Chlamydomonas reinhardtii: one gene and its partner. Each later gene encodes a partner of the first gene's protein in a complex. Links are inferred from orthologs where the notes say so. Each region holds a gene or a part of one and is shown in the gene's direction. Other genes may lie near its edges.

Region 1 (7,827 bases):
CGGGCGGCGAAAAGTGGGTCGACCCCACGCTGAATGAGTGGCCGGACAACGACTTCCGCATCTTTGTGGGCGACATCGGGAACGAGGTCACTGACGACCTGCTCGCAAAGTCGTTCTCCAAGTACTCATCCTTTGCCAAGGCGAAGGTGAGCCGGCGTAAGCGCGTCATCAGAGTCAGGTTGTAGAGCCATGGACGGCTGCAGCGGAGAGTGCCGGTGGGCGTGGCCAGACGTGGCTTGTTAGCGGGAGGAGAGGCGAATACGTGACGCCAGCGCACCTCCTCCGCGGGCTTTCATGCCGCACGTTACGCCGTAACTTGGCTTGCAAGCCTGTCACTCCAGGGTACCGTTGCCCACTCGTTTGCCCACCCCCTTGCCCCGACAGATCGTGCGCGACCCCCGCACCAAGAAGAGCAAGGGCTACGGCTTCGTGAGCTTTCTGGACGGCCAGGACTTTGCCAAGGCGCTGCGTGAGATGAACGGCAAGTACATTGGCAACCGGCCCTGCAAGCTGAGCAAGAGCACCTGGGACGAGCGCACGGTGCGCAAGGTGACGCTGAAGGAGAAGAGCGGCGGCAACGACCCTAAGCGGCAAAAGAGGTAGCGCGCCCGGTTGCGTGATTGCGGAAGCGTGTGCGAGTACGGTTGGTTGTGTAAGGGGTTGTGGGGCGTGGCAGGTGCGGATGCAGACCGGGCTGACTATGACTGGACTATTTGTTAGCAAGCACAGAGGCGTGCTCGCACGGCACGCCTGTGGACGACGTACAGTGGTTTTGCGTGCGGCGCCTGGGTGCTGACATGCGCTTGGGTGGTTCTGGTACGGGGCTGCTCCCACTCCCAGGTGTCATGTGTTGAACAGTAACTGCCGTGATGAGGACTTGATTGGATTGCATGGTCCTCGCTTGGACTGTGGTAATCAGTGGCCACCTTGCTTGTGTACGGCTGCTGTAGTCTGTGGGTGTTCCTTCACTCCTTTCAGTCGTGTTGAGTAAACGCGAGCAACGGCAGCCAGCATGCCAGCCGCGGTTGTGGGGTCCTTTGGCCACGGCCATCCAATGCCCGTTCGCACGCAGGCGGGGGCGCACGCCAGCACGGCAGGAGGCTAACACGGCCAACTCGCAGAGACGCTGAGGGTATGCGGCTACCGTATGTGGCGTCGTGATGGCGACATGGCGTTGTTGGCAGGCATGGTGAGTGACCGAGTCACGAGTTGTCAGGTGCCTCAGATTCCCAGGGAAAGCTGTTACAGCCGAAGCCCGCCTCGCCCTTGGCCTCGCCCCTAGGTCTGCAGGCTGTGCCGCCAGGTGGCACCGTGCTCTCATGGTGCCTTGGAGTGCTTCCTGCTAGTTCCTGCCTTATGTGGCGGGACACCTCCCCCTACCGTGGCCCCACTTCGTACCCAACGTAGGGATACACATGTATAAGAGCTACCTGTGTGCAATGCGCTTGTGCGGCGGGCAACGGCTGTACGCCATGCATGCCGTTGCGGACGGTTGCCCCCCCGACCCTTCCCCTTCCTCTTTCCCATCCATTTCCCCTACCTTCACTTTCGCTACTTGCACAAACATACGTTACCATGGCCGCCCTTCAGAGCCGTGTTGGTCGGTGCGTGGGCGCTTCCGCTCGGCGCCAGCACTCGCTGGTTGCGAGCCGTGTTGCTGTGCCGCGCCCTAGCGTCAGCGTTGTGCCTCAGGTGCAGCAGGAGGCTCACCATGTGCAGGGTGAGCGAATTTGCAAAGCGGTAACCTGGCCTTTTGCGAGTGTAATGGCCGCCGAATGAATTCCTTGTTTTTGGTCGCACCAGGCGTCGCCCAAATCCCCTCGAGCCGTGCCTCTTGCATTGCTCGGGCCACTTACCATGGCTCTGTTATGGCGGAGCCTGGCAGCAAGTACGCGGTGGTGGTCGCTCGCTTCAACAGCCTGATCACCAAGGGCCTGCTGGAGGGTGCTATGGAGACCTTTGAGGCGCATGGCGTGCCCAAGGAGAACGTGGACGTAAGCACAGCTCGGTCGGCATTGTGCGTACGCATGCGTGCGACTGAATCGCGCGCTGTTTTGCAGGTCGCTTGGGTGCCGGGCAGCTTCGAGATGCCCGTCATCGCCAAGTCCATGGCAAAATCGGGAAAGTACGCAGGCGTGGTGTGCATCGGCGCTGTGGTGAGTTGGCGGGATGGCACAGCACTGGTATATCACCCCACGGCGAACCTGCTTGCGGAACGTTTGGGAGACGACCCCAGGGCGGAGCACACCCAAAGGATTGATTTGGCAAGCCAACTGTATTGGCTGGCTGCTCTGCACAGATTCGTGGCGCTACCACCCACTACGACGCCGTCGTGAGCGCGGCCACCAGCGGCGTGCTCAACTGCAGCGTTGACACCGGTGAGTGCCGCCGCGGGCTCAGGGGTCAGGTCGTAGACTGACATGCGAATGCGCCATTGTCATCATGCATCGACACGTGACCTGGGCTGCGGTGCGTGCGTGTGCAGGCGTGCCCGTCGTGTTCGGCGTGCTGACCACCGACGACCTGGAGCAGGTGCGCCGCAATTGCAAACGCGGATCCCAGGCGGGGTTCACCATGGGCGTGTCTGAGTTTCATGTCTGCATGTGGCTTGGGCCGGAGTGCCAAGGACCGAGGGTGGTCAGTGCGGAGGGGTGCTCGTGGGGCAAGGCGAGCGCGGCCCGAACCCTGTGCCTTCGGCATTCTTGCCCCTGCAGGCTCTGGACCGCACCGGTGGCAAGGTCGGCAACAAGGGTGGCGAGGCCGCCCTGACCGCCGTGGAGACCGCGACCCTCCTGGCCAAGCTGAAGAAGGAGGGCAAAGCCTCGTGGTAAATGGCAGCCAGCCGGACCTGGAGGACGCGCGCGTGTTATCAGGCTTTCATGCCGGAGCGGGCGTCATGTAGAGCCACTGGTGTGAAAATCCTGACTAGATTTCGGGTGTGGATGAAGGCAAGGGGTTGTGCATGCGCAGGCGCGGATGCAGGCAGGGGATTTGCGCTTAGTGCTGTGCCTCCCCTGGTGCTGTGGGTGTGGGCAGGTTGGGGGATGCTGTGGGCATGTCCGTGTGACTGTGAGTCACGTGTGTTTTACAAGGATGCTTGAATGCGCCAATAAAATCGTTCTTCGGTTCGTTGTGCCGGGGGACGGCCGCGAGCGGCTTGGCCGCGAGGCATGTGGACTTGCAGCTCGCGCGGCGGCGAGTTTGCCCTTGCAAGTGGGTTAAATCGCGTGAGCCTGGATTATGCATGTAACACAAGGACTACATTTTTTCGTGGCAATGTCTGGCAGGAATTGGGGAATTGGGGGGCGCGATGGGCAATGGTGCCCGGCCACAATTTGCTCTAGGCTCGACTCAGAGCCCCGTTGGCCCCCACTACACTATTTACATTAGTTTAGCAACCATGGCCATGATGTCCCTGCAGCAGCGGCTGCTGCAGCCCAGCGCCGGCGTTCGCTCGGTGGCGCCCTTCAGGCCCGTGGTGGCGCCTCGCCCTGTGGTGGTCGTCCGCGCGGCGGCCCTGGACGAGGAGGTTGAGTTTGAGGTCGTGGCCAACAAGCCTCAGCAGAATGTGCGTAAGGAGAAGCCGCGGTCCAAGCGCTTCAAGGCGATGCAGACCAAGACTCCTGGCCGCACCTCGGAGCTGGACCCCAAGGAGGCTATTCGCCTGGTGAAGCAGACCGCCTCCACTAAGTTCACTGAGTCCGTGGAGTTCCACGCCCGCATGGGCCTGGACCCCAAGTTCTCGGACCAGCAGCTGCGCGCGACTGTGTCGCTGCCATTCGGCACCGGCAAGGAGCTGCGCGTGGCCGTTCTGACCCAGAACGACAACATCAAGCTGGCTAAGGATGCTGGTGCCGATGTTGTGGGCGGGGATGACCTGATCGAGAAGATTAGCGGTGGTTTCATGGAGTTCGACAAGCTCATTGCCACCCCCGACATGATGCCTAAGGTCGCCAAGCTGGGTCGTGTGCTGGGTCCCCGTGGCCTGATGCCCAACCCCAAGGCGGGCACCGTGACCACCGATGTGGCCGGGGTAAGCAGCCGTCGCGAGGCGTTGGCAAAGGGAGGGGGGTGGCGATCGGCTTGCGGGGGGAGGGGGGCATGTGCGGTGATGCGCTGTGTAGGCTGTGGGCCTACCCAGTGACCACGACTGAATGCGGATTTTGCACGTCAGCTGCCAAGCCATCGTCACATTTGATGCAGTTTTAGGGCGACCCAACAGGCCGGGCGCATCAGCCAAAGTGACTGGCGGGGGTCCGCACTGTCGACCAGCTCGTATGTATACTCTTAGCCCGTACGCGTCGCCAGGCGCTGCATTAAGCATCCGTGCTTCTTCCTTCCCTTGCCTCCAACCCCACAGACCGTCAAGGACTTCAAGGGCGGCAAGGTGGAGTACCGCCTGGACAAGACCGGCAACCTGCACGTGCTGTTCGGCCGCGCCGACTTTAAGGAGGAGGACCTGCTCTTCAACCTGAAGGCCGTGCAGGTGCGCGGCATGTTCTTTGCTGTGTTGCTAGTAATGCTTTGTGGCTGCGCATGATTGAAGCGAGGTGGATGGGAGGGCTGGAGGGCGGGCGGCATGCATGTGCGCGGACGGCGGTGCGCCGGTGGTGGCTGGCTGCACTTCGTCTTTGCCAGTGCGCCGTATTGTCGACTTGCAGGGCTCCGCACGAAATGGGTCACCCGGGAACCGCTGCAAACCATCGTGCGCCAGAGCCCTGACCCATATATGGTTGCTCCTTTCTGCTTGCAGGAGTCGATCGATGCCAACAAGCCCCCCGGCGCTAAGGGTGTGTACTGGAAGTCCATGTACGTGTGCACCACTATGGGCCCCTCGCTGCGCATCGGCGTCTCGGCCCTGCAGAACACTAAGGGCAAGGCGGAGTAAGCGGCTCGCGCTGGACTCGCTAACGGCGGCGACTGTGGGCTTGGGAAGGCAGCGGACAATGGATTTTGTGGTGTTGGCATGGAGGTGACGGCTGCGCGGGAGGCCGGCTTGGTTTGGAGGCCGGCGGCAGCAGGTTTGGCGGCTGGCGAGCAGCAGCGCTGAAGCAATGCAGCAGCAGCAGGAGCAGCAGTGGACTGACCGCATGATGGAGAGCAGCAGCATGTGGAGGAGCGGAGCATGGCGTTTGCACACGCGCTTTGTGCGGAGTAGGAGGCTGCGCTGGCCATCGCGATCGGCGGGCGCTGTGCTTTGTCTGGGCCGCCAGCGGCGGCAGTTCACACGGCGCGCGGGATGGCGATGTCAGGGCGTCAGCGGTGCCCGATTTTGCAATCGCCTTCAGATACAGACCGGCGCCGTGCGAGCGCGCCGGCGGGCGTGGATTTTCTTGTGGTAGAGGGCGGATGGAGCTGGGACCTCGTGAGCGGCACGCAACGCAGCTGACAGGCTGCACCGCTCGGCCGCGATCCAGTCGCAGCCGATGCAGGGCGTGCACAGAGCTTGCTTGGAGCTGGCGGCGGTGGCTTTGGGGTTCAGGTCACAACGCACGGATGGCAAGCGCTGCCGGCGTGCGCGTGTCGTCAGCGCACGGCTAACGCTAGCCAGCTATCCGGCATGGCATAGGAGGATGGGGTCGCCGCGGTATTTTCAGAGTCGGATAGACTAAGCGGCGGCTTGGAACATAGATACAGACTGTTCCGTGCGGAGTGGAGGATTGGGCCGCAACCGGCGGCAAGTAAACGATGTAATGTCGTGGTAAAGTTACGTTGTCCATTGCCGGGTGCGGGGTGGCGCAGGGTCGTAAGCGGGCAAGCAATCGAGCTACCGGGTATCGAGTGCCAGGTGTGGCCAGACCGCCAGAGCTGTTTGGGTGGCACAGCCGACTGCCCGTACAGCATACCGTCAAGTGGCTAAGAAACCAGTGAAGTTGTCAGCAGGACCAGCGGGCGACACAGGAACCCCGTATAAAACATAACAACACCGCCAAATGCCGTACGCGAAGTGTAGCAGTATCAATGAAATCAGACTTGGCTGACGCGGGCATCCTGGGGGGTCTGGTCGGCCTGGGTCGGCGTACCCACAGTCCCATGGCGTAACGCGACGCCTCCCTGGGCTCTCAACCAACCACCAACCGCTCGTAAGCGTTAGAGCCTCTGCCAACCTGTCCTTGACCACCGGCACCTATCTGGTCTGGAAACACCCTGCATTCTATGGTACTGCGCCAACCTGCCCCGCACCCCAGCTTACCCTGTCGCATCGCACACATGCCCCTGCAGGAACAACGCAATCTGCCCATACCGTGTGTCAATCCAGCTCTTCAATTAGAGGCTTCTTCTTGGCTACTGCCGCCTCCTTGCCTGCAGCCGCCGCCGCGCCCACCGGCTGCTTTGGGTTGGACATCCCAACCACCTTAAGCTCCTCCAGGAGGCTGTGTGGCACACCCGGGTTGGAGGCCGCCCCCAAGCCCTGCCCTGCGTCCGTCGCTTTGCCCGTTGTGCCCGCATCGTCGGCGCCGGCCACGGCCACCTGCGCCGCCTTGGCAGCCGCCTGCTGCAGCCGCTCTTGCTGCTGCTTGTGCAGCCCCTCAAACGCCTTATCGCCCACGGCGTCGCGATGCACCTGCATCAAGGAGACGGCGGCGGTCGTGTTGATGCCGGATCCGAGACAAACCATGCAGAGCCTCAACTCGGGAGTTACAATACTGCCGCGACTCTCGCCGTTGGCAGCGCAGCCATCCCCACCAACAACCCCAAAACCACTCCCCTACGCGCGCCCTCCCCGTCCGCCCCTCCCCTGCCCTCCCCCGCCGCACCTGCAGCGTGCGCACGCTTCTGCTGAGCACCAGGCGGTACTCGGCCTCCGCGAACTGGCTCACCGCCTCCAGCAGCGCGCCGCGTGCCCCCGGCGGCGCGTCCGCTGCCGCCGCGCGCACCGCGTCGCCGTGCGCCGCCACGTGGAAGTGGTGCACCAGCACCTGGCCTGGCCGCGACATGGCGGCCCGGTACTCGGCCAGCGGTACGACAAGGCCCGACCAGCTGCCGCCCGGCGGCGCGGCGGCGCCAGGGCGCAGCGGCGCGCCGTCGGCAAAGTGTGCGGGGCGCAGGCCCGATGCTGCAAGGCAGGCGGGCAGGCGGGCAGGAATGGGCGGGGAGCGGAGGGTGCTGGTCAAGATCCCAGGCAGCCGCTCTGGAGGCGTCAGTCCCCTTGATGCAGTACGGCACGTGTGTTTACAGCAGCATATGCATTTGCAGGTATCCACCGTCGCAAGTCCAACCCGGCATCGACGCAGCGCTCACCATCCGTAGCGGCCCACACGTGCACGCGCGCCACCGCCTTGCTGCCCCCCACAAGGTTAGCCACACTGGCCGGCGCGCCGCCGGCCGCTGCCGCCGCCGCCACGACCGCCGCCGCCTGCGGCTGCTGCGCCTGCGCCTCCAGCACCAGAGCGGGCGCAAGGCTCTCCACATGCGGGTCTCGCGCCTTCTCCGCCTCCTCCTTGGCGACCTGCGCCTGCGTCTTGATGAACTCCTGGTACCTGCTCGGCAGAAGTTGCACAAGGGAGCAACGATACCGCGTCACACCGCCGCCCGTCCATAGCGGCTGCCGGGCCTGCCAGACGCGGGCGTGAGCCCACAAGTTGACAGCTCCGCCCCGCAACGCCCTCTCCACCACCGGCGCCATTTGCCTCTGGCCTACAGTCACACATGACCCTGCACGCATGACCCCGCGCGCACCCCTCGGGGTCCTGCTCCGCCATCTCGTCCATCATCTTCCACATGTTCTCCGCGTACTGGGCCACCTCCGCGTAGTCCGCCGCGCTGGCGTTGGGGCCCAGCACCGAGCGCAGCAGCGGGTTGGCGGCGGCGGAGGAGCCCGCCGTG
Region 2 (6,940 bases), on another chromosome or scaffold:
TGCCTTCTTGGCCCACCCCTCCTCACTTCAAACGTGTAATTCATCGCCCCCCCCCGTCTTCCATGGACAGCTTCCCCCCTTCTTTTGCTTTGGTCCTCGCAACCCGCGCCCACTCCCCACCTGCGCGTCGAAGGCGCTGCGGGCCGCCTCCACCGCCGCCTGCGTGTTGCCGCCGCCGCGGTCCGCCAGGTGCTGGGTGCGCAGCGGGTTCAGCTCCGGCGGCAGCGAGTTGTACACCTGTGTGCGGAGCGCGCGTGTGTGGGGTGGGACGCGTGTGTGTGTGTGGAGCGCGCGTGTGTGTGCGCGCGGGTTGCAAGTGGTAAGTGGTTAGGGAGCGCTGTTCGGCCGCCCCAGAAACCCTAAAACCCCACAACCCTCAAACACATAGCAAGCAAATCACACGCGTGTGCTTGCATATGCACATACGCTTCAGAAACCGGAGCACTTCTTTGCGTAACACACACGCACACGCATTCGTTTCCTTCTGCTCTTTAACACACACACATACACACACAGACACACGGCGCCCCGCCCGCACCTGCGCCATGTTCCACACGTTCTCGCCCATGCTGGCGGTGGGGTCCACAATCTGGTAGCCCAGGTTGGCGTCGGCGTCGTAGGGGTGGCCCCAGCGCCGCATCAGCGCCGCCATGCGCTTCTTGTCCTTATGCAGCGCGCGGTCGTGCTCCGCCCAGCGGCCCGTGACCTGTGTGCATGGGGTAGGGTACACACAGGTGGTTAGGCAACTAGGGCTGTCCCGGCCTCTTCGGGACTCGGGGACTATCTTCCCTGGGCTCTGTTCCCCGTCCGATCGCCGCCGGCCACAAACCCGGGTTCCTACTGCCCCGCGCCGGCTTTCCCCCGCCTTGCCCCGCCACCGCTTCGCTCCTGCCCCCCGGGGGCGGCCACTCCTTGACAATCGTGACCTGTTTCATGTGAGCTCGGGCATATACGATCCTCCCTTCATACTTGTGATTTAATCGCCCGCGCTTCCTCCTGCCCCTCCTCCCTCACCTCGGGCCCGGGCGGGTCGTCCTCCACCGGCGGCGTGTCCTCCTCCAGGTTGCCCGCGTTCAACACGTCCTCATACCTGGCGAGGGAGCAGGAAAGGCAGGGAATTCAAAAGGGTCTGATTAGCGATGCAGGCCAAGGACAGGCAGAGAGCAGGGACGCAGGGGGCCGCAAAGATAGTTGGAAAAGCGGTACAGGATGCCAAGAAGACTGAAGACGAAGACGTGACTAGGGGTGGGGCAACAGGTGCAGGGCGCTCTTCCGGTTGTGGAGAGAATACATCGGACAAACAATCCCCTCGCTCCTCCCCAATCCCCCAGCTTCCACGCTCTCACGCCACACGCTAGCCGAACCCCTCCCCTCCTAATCCCACCGCCCATTCTCTCACCACTCATCCATGAGCGGCCCCGTGGCCTTGTCGTAGTAGGCCAGGCGCGACTCCCACTCGCCCCACCGCTCCATCCACTCGCTCTCCGCGTCCCAGGCGCACGCCGTGCCGCACACGCGGCAGCCGCCGTCCGCGCCCGCCTCGTGGTCGTGGTCGTGCGCGGAGCTGCGGCAGCGGGGGCCGCAGCAGCGGGGGAGGGGGCCGCAGCAGCAGCGAAGGATGCAGTTGAGGGTCAGGCGCGTGTGCGCGTATGTGGGTATGTGCTTGTGTGCGTGCGCCGCCACCCGGGTGCGCATTGGAGCCGGATCGGGCCAGAACCGGACCGGGTTGTGCAAACCAGCGCCACGCAGCCACGCCCGAAGGCGCCCGACACACCCCGCCGTCTGCAGCCCACCTACACCCCACAGCCCCCCCTCCTCCCCGCAGCCGGCCTCGACCACTTCAGTGAATCCCATTCAGTTAACTCCCTTTATTAGGCTACACGCTTGCCCTTCCCCAGACCCCCTGCCCATGGCCCCCTGCCCACAGGCCCCCGACGCCTCACCGGCCCTCAGCGACGCCGCCCAGCCCCGCAAGCGCCGCCCGCCGCCGCGCGCCGCCCGACACGCGCGCGTCGCCTAGGCAGGCGGGGCAGGTCATGACGCCGGCGCCCTTGCAGCGCTGGCACTTGTGCTGGAGCAGCCGCGGGTAGGTGCGCGCGAAGTGGTCCACGAACGTGAAGCCCTCCGCCAGCTGTTTTGTGAGGTGGGTGGGTGTGTGTAGGGGGCGGGGGGGGGATTGCGGGGCGGGAATGGAAGATTGACAGGGAGCAGGCAAGGGGTGAGCGGGAGGGGGGGGGAGAGGGGGCGGCGCAGGGCGGGGGCCATGCGGGGCGGGTGCAACCGTACCCCTACCCTACGTTGCATTTGTTTGGTTTTGTTACCACGCCAGCTGACTGCATTCGGTGTGTTGCGTGCGCCGTGGTTGCCGCAAGCAAGCCGGCGGCCGAGAGGGATATGAGATGTGAGTGCGGCAGGCACGGGGCCGCACCGCTAACGTCCCCATCGCCAAGACCCGCAGGCGCGCAGATACAGCCACTAGTAGCAACACACGATGCAGCGCCAGCTGCTGCACCCTGTCCCCCGCGTCGCTCTGTGCGTGGCTGCCGGGCCCGTTGCGTGTGGGGTCTGGGGTGGAGAAAGGCGCAGGCGCCGTGTGTCGCCGCTTTCGAGCCACCCCGCAGATCTATTGGCCATATCGCAAACCGTTCAACCATTTTGTAACTCAATGCAGCTTTAACGCTACTCAGCCGCCGCAAACGAGGTGTCGGGGCACAGCAAACCAACTTCCTTGCACTTGCCACCTCGCATGGCGGCAAACAGCTGTGCCCCGACTCACCCAAATGACTTTCTGCGCCCACCAGACCAGCTCCCGCTCTGGGAGCGAGCGCATAAGGTCGACGTAGGGGTCGCCATCGAACTCTCGCGAGTAGAACTGTCCCATTCTTTTCTACTGGGCTATGAACCAATTATATTAAGACTAGTGCGCGAATTGGACCACCATTCCCTCAGATCGACCCGCAGCAAAGTCTTTTGTTGCCTGCGCGGTGGTTTTATGGCTGTGCAGTTGAAATTATGGCGTGCCTAATGATACTGTATCACAGATTTAATTTAGCCAAGTGGAGGAGCCTCCTTTCACCTGCCCCCTTCAATCGCCCCTGCATCGCCGGCAAGCGAGGGACCTGTGTGGACCTCGAGCCCTGTTCTCCACTCTACTTAACTAGTTCTTTTACATTCTAGTAGGCGTCAGAGTCACGCCATAAGGTCAGTCCCTCGCTAGCGACCGACCGCGCAGCCAGTCCACAAATTCGGCCGCAGCCTGAACTGGGTCCGCCGCTCGCTCTACTCGCTCCGGGGCCTCACAAACGCTTTTCATTTGCTGCAGGGAAAGGAACTAGCAGCGCGATGGCGACCCTCACCAGCTCTCGCGTCACCGCGTTCTCGGGCTCGCGCCTGGGCAACGTCCGCATCGGCCAGGCGCGCCGGGGCGTGACCGCCGCGCGCATGGCCAAGGAGGGCATTCACCCTCAGTGGTTTGAGGAGGCTAAGGTCATTTGCAACGGTGTGGAGGTCATGACCGTGGGCGGCACCAAGGCCACGTACAACGTGGATATCTACTCGGGCAACCACCCATTCTACCAGGGCAACCGCACCACCATGGTGCTGGACGATGGCCAGCTGAACAAGTTCAAGAAGCGGTTCGCGGAGCTGGAGGAGCTCGCGGTCGTGCCCATTCTGCAGGCCGGCAAGGCCGAGGACCCGTCGGCGAAGGAGAAGCCCGCTGCTGCCGCGGTAAGGGCTGGCGAAACAGCGCTCGGGTCCGCCAGAAGTTCTGGGGTGTGGCCATCCCTGCTTGTGGGCCATGTGCACGGCAGCTAGGTCGGACGGTCGGTCGCGCTCTATTTGATGCTTGGAGGAATGGATGGCGCTGTTCTCGGGGGTTACGCAAGGGCGGGGGGGGGGAGACCCTCAGGGGCTGAGCAGCCCCACCCGTGTGCCCTCCACGGCACCGGCGTGCCGTTCGAGCGGGTACGTGCGGACATGTCCGGTGCGAGCCTGATCACACCTAATTTCCCGCGCATCCTCTCGCCCCTTGACCCCGCAGAACAAGAAGGGCAAGAAGAAGTAAGCGGCTCGCTGGAGTGGCGCCGGCGGCCGACAGGCCGCTGGCAGCAGCATGCACAGCTAGCAGGGGGGTTTGTCAGCGCCGGCGGCTGGCGCCTGGGCTGGGAGCGGGGCGGACGTGTGGAGGCGGCCATGTGTAGAAGTTGGCGCCGTCAGTGCAGCAGCACAGCGGCGCAGGGAAGCAACGCGCGGGTGCCATCAGGAGCGACCTCGGGCGCAGGCGCATCGGCGCTGGCAGCAGCGCGGAGGGAGAGGCCTGACAGATGGCGAGGCGAGGCGGCATGCCGACATGCCGACCCGTGCGGCGCTTGATGTGGGTTTGTTGTTAGAAGCGCGCGTGGAGCAGGAGTCTTACGGGGCAGCGCACCCAAGGCGCAGGGGTTCGGGCTAAGGCTCGACCGGAATTGACCGCCCCGGGCAGCGCGCGCCAAGGAGCAACGTAGGCTGGTTGGTGTGTGTGTGAGCTGCTGGCCTGGCCACATTTTGACTCGCGTGGCGACGGCTGCGAAGCTCTTAACCCAACGGCTCGTGGCTCTTCGTAGCAGGACGTGGGGTGGGTAGCTGCATATACGCACGTCGATACGCAGAGGCGCGGAGAGAGCTTGGAGAGAGAGGCGGTGTGGTTGAGTGCCGGACAGAACGCCGGACAGACGTGTGCAATCAAATAGGAGAGCGTTGTCGAGCTCTGTAAATGCATATCCGATGTGACCTGACGCGCCTGCTGCACGCCTGCACGCCCTCCCTGCTGCTGGGAATCGGGAGGGGGGATTCAAGTGAGGGCAACCGTGCGCGGGGGGCCGGGGGGCCCCTGGCGGGAGGGGGGGGGCTCGTACCGGTCAGATGCAGAAGGGGTAGAAGGGCCAGCACGGGGACACTGATTTCAAAGCCCAGAAGAACGTAGTCAACGGCAGACACAGAAACAGTCGAGCTGGTAATACACAAGAACACATGTTGAGGTCTCGGGGCGGCGCTGCAGCGCTTTCGGCAGCATCCTCGCGGCACCCACCGCTGCCGGTGAAGCTGTCGGTGAGGCTGGGCCCCGGCGTGAGCCTGCACAGCGGCCTTGCTGCCGCGCTGCTGCAGGAGCTCATCAAGTTCATCCAATTTGCGCGCGGCCAGACGCAGACGCCCTTTGAGCACCTTCGGGCCGCGCTGCAGGTGCGTGCGCGCCAAAATCTGTCCTATCAAAGTCTACCTTACCAGTGCTATTGGCTCTCGGCATCATGCAGAGTAGCCTGGAGTCGCTGGCGGAACAGCATGAACAGGAGCAGAAACAGGAGCAGGAGCTTCGCGCCTCGGGTGCGACTCATGCAAGGCTGACCCGGCCGCGGCGCAGCAGGCGCCTGCGGCTGCCCTCGGCTGTAAACCGCATCATCAAGGTGCGCTTGAGGCAACCCGGGGCTGCGGTCGACGGGTTGCGAGCCGTGTCCTTGCCGTGTCCTTGCCGCCCAGGCCCGCTCCCACTCACCCGGGCCACAATTTACACCGGGGCGAACACTCCCACCTGGGTCGTGCTACGGGGGCATGCCCCACGGTCATGGTCCCTCCATCGCAACACAAATACACACACACTTGCGTGCTTGTGCTCTGTGACAAACTCCCGCATCTCGCAGTTTTCCGAGTCCATGGATGCGCTGCTGGCCGCCGCCAGCCCCCAGCTGCTGGCGGCAGCGCAGCCCGCGGCCGTGGCGGTGGTCCTGGGCGCCTGCCCCCACCGGCCCCGGGAGCTATACCACATCACCTTCAGTGGGCCCGACGGCCAGCCGCTGCTGCCTCTGCTGCAGCCGCCCCCATCCCCGCAGCCGCTGCAACCGCCGCGGCCGCCGCAGCCGCAGCCTGCAGCAGCAACGGGAGCCGTGCTGCTTGCGCCGGCGGCAGGCAGCACGGCGGCGGCATCTGGGTCAGAGGCCGCGGCGGCGGCAGCTGCTACAGACGCAGAAACAGGCGGTTGGAAGCCGCCTATGCCGCCGCCGCCACTGTCACCGCCGCCGCACGGGCAACAGGAACAGCAGCAACAGCAGCAGTTGCACCCCCCGGGCCAGGCCGTGCCGCGGCGCGGCGCGCGGCGTCACCAGGTGCCGCGCAGCTTGGGTCCGGACGCGGCGGCGGCGCTGCAGGCGGGCCTGAGCGACCGGGAGCGGGGCGCGGTGCGGCGGGCGCTGCGCGGGCTGGTGGTGGCGCAGACCTCTGTGGAGGCGTGGAGCAGGCTGCAGCGTGAGTGGCGCGGACTGAGGCGTACCGGGCGTGGGCTGCGGCATCACGGGCTTGGGGTTGGTCCACCCTGGGTAGAGCTGTGGGAGTGGTATGCAGGGACAGCGGACAGCAGGGCAAAGGCGGGCGCGGGGGAGGGTTTGGGCGCGGGGGAGGGTTTGGGCGCGGGATTGGGGTCAGGGCGTGCAGGCATGGCCGAGGCGACTAGGGCGCCCGTGGGATCATGTGTTGTTGTGGCGGCTGCGCTGAACCTCGATCGCTGTTTCAAAGAGCAGCAGGATTACGTATGAGTAGACAGCAGCAGCAGCAGCAGCAGCTCATGTGCGCGGGGCTTAGGGGCAGTGGCGGCAAGCCGACGCCGTGTTGCTTATCATCCTGCTCGCGGGGCTGGTGTGCAGTGCTGCAATGTCCGCTTGCCTGCATGCCTGCCCGCATGCCCACATGCCTGCCCGCATGCCCACATGCCCGACCGCGTGCAGGGCCGACCAAGATGTGGCTGGCAGTGGCCCCGTCCGCCGCCGCGGCCAGCACCAGCGGGCCTGCTGCACCTGAGGCCGCCGCCACCGCTGCCGCCGCCGGCGCCGCCGGCGCCGCACCCTCAGCTGCTCCGCAGGCCTACCGAGACCGAAGCTGGGGGGCAGCAGCTGCTGCTGCAGGTGCTGCTGGC

The links. The genes of interacting proteins can lie anywhere in the genome.
Region 2: CHLRE_02g088900v5 (region 1) and CHLRE_08g365400v5 share a complex: the UniProt entries of both Arabidopsis thaliana proteins name them as parts of the 50S ribosomal subunit. The link is inferred for Chlamydomonas reinhardtii from reciprocal best matches to the Arabidopsis thaliana genes EMB3126 and emb2184.

Annotation. Positions count from the first base shown.
Region 1 is NC_057005.1:2,075,148-2,082,974, forward strand, and holds CHLRE_02g088900v5 (uncharacterized protein), read left to right. Parts: upstream 1-3,368; 5' UTR 3,369-3,400; coding exon 3,401-4,033; intron 4,034-4,360; coding exon 4,361-4,486; intron 4,487-4,753; coding exon 4,754-4,888; 3' UTR 4,889-5,706; downstream 5,707-7,827. Other genes in the region: CHLRE_02g088800v5 (uncharacterized protein), read left to right, coding at 1-146, 385-603; CHLRE_02g088850v5 (uncharacterized protein), read left to right, coding at 1,576-1,720, 1,804-1,994, 2,061-2,156, 2,300-2,378, 2,486-2,532, 2,715-2,831; CHLRE_02g088950v5 (uncharacterized protein), read right to left, coding at 6,251-6,565, 6,759-7,057, 7,243-7,481, 7,681-7,827. UniProt on the Arabidopsis thaliana protein: This protein binds directly to 23S ribosomal RNA.
Region 2 is NC_057011.1:1,622,585-1,629,524, reverse strand, and holds CHLRE_08g365400v5 (uncharacterized protein), read left to right. Parts: upstream 1-3,151; 5' UTR 3,152-3,201; intron 3,202-3,322; 5' UTR 3,323-3,342; coding exon 3,343-3,729; intron 3,730-4,042; coding exon 4,043-4,066; 3' UTR 4,067-4,765; downstream 4,766-6,940. Other genes in the region: CHLRE_08g365450v5 (uncharacterized protein), read right to left, coding at 121-237, 539-706, 1,015-1,090, 1,400-1,564, 1,944-2,131, 2,777-2,881; CHLRE_08g365351v5 (uncharacterized protein), read left to right, coding at 5,011-5,220, 5,292-5,441, 5,676-6,276, 6,753-6,940. UniProt on the Arabidopsis thaliana protein: Binds the 23S rRNA.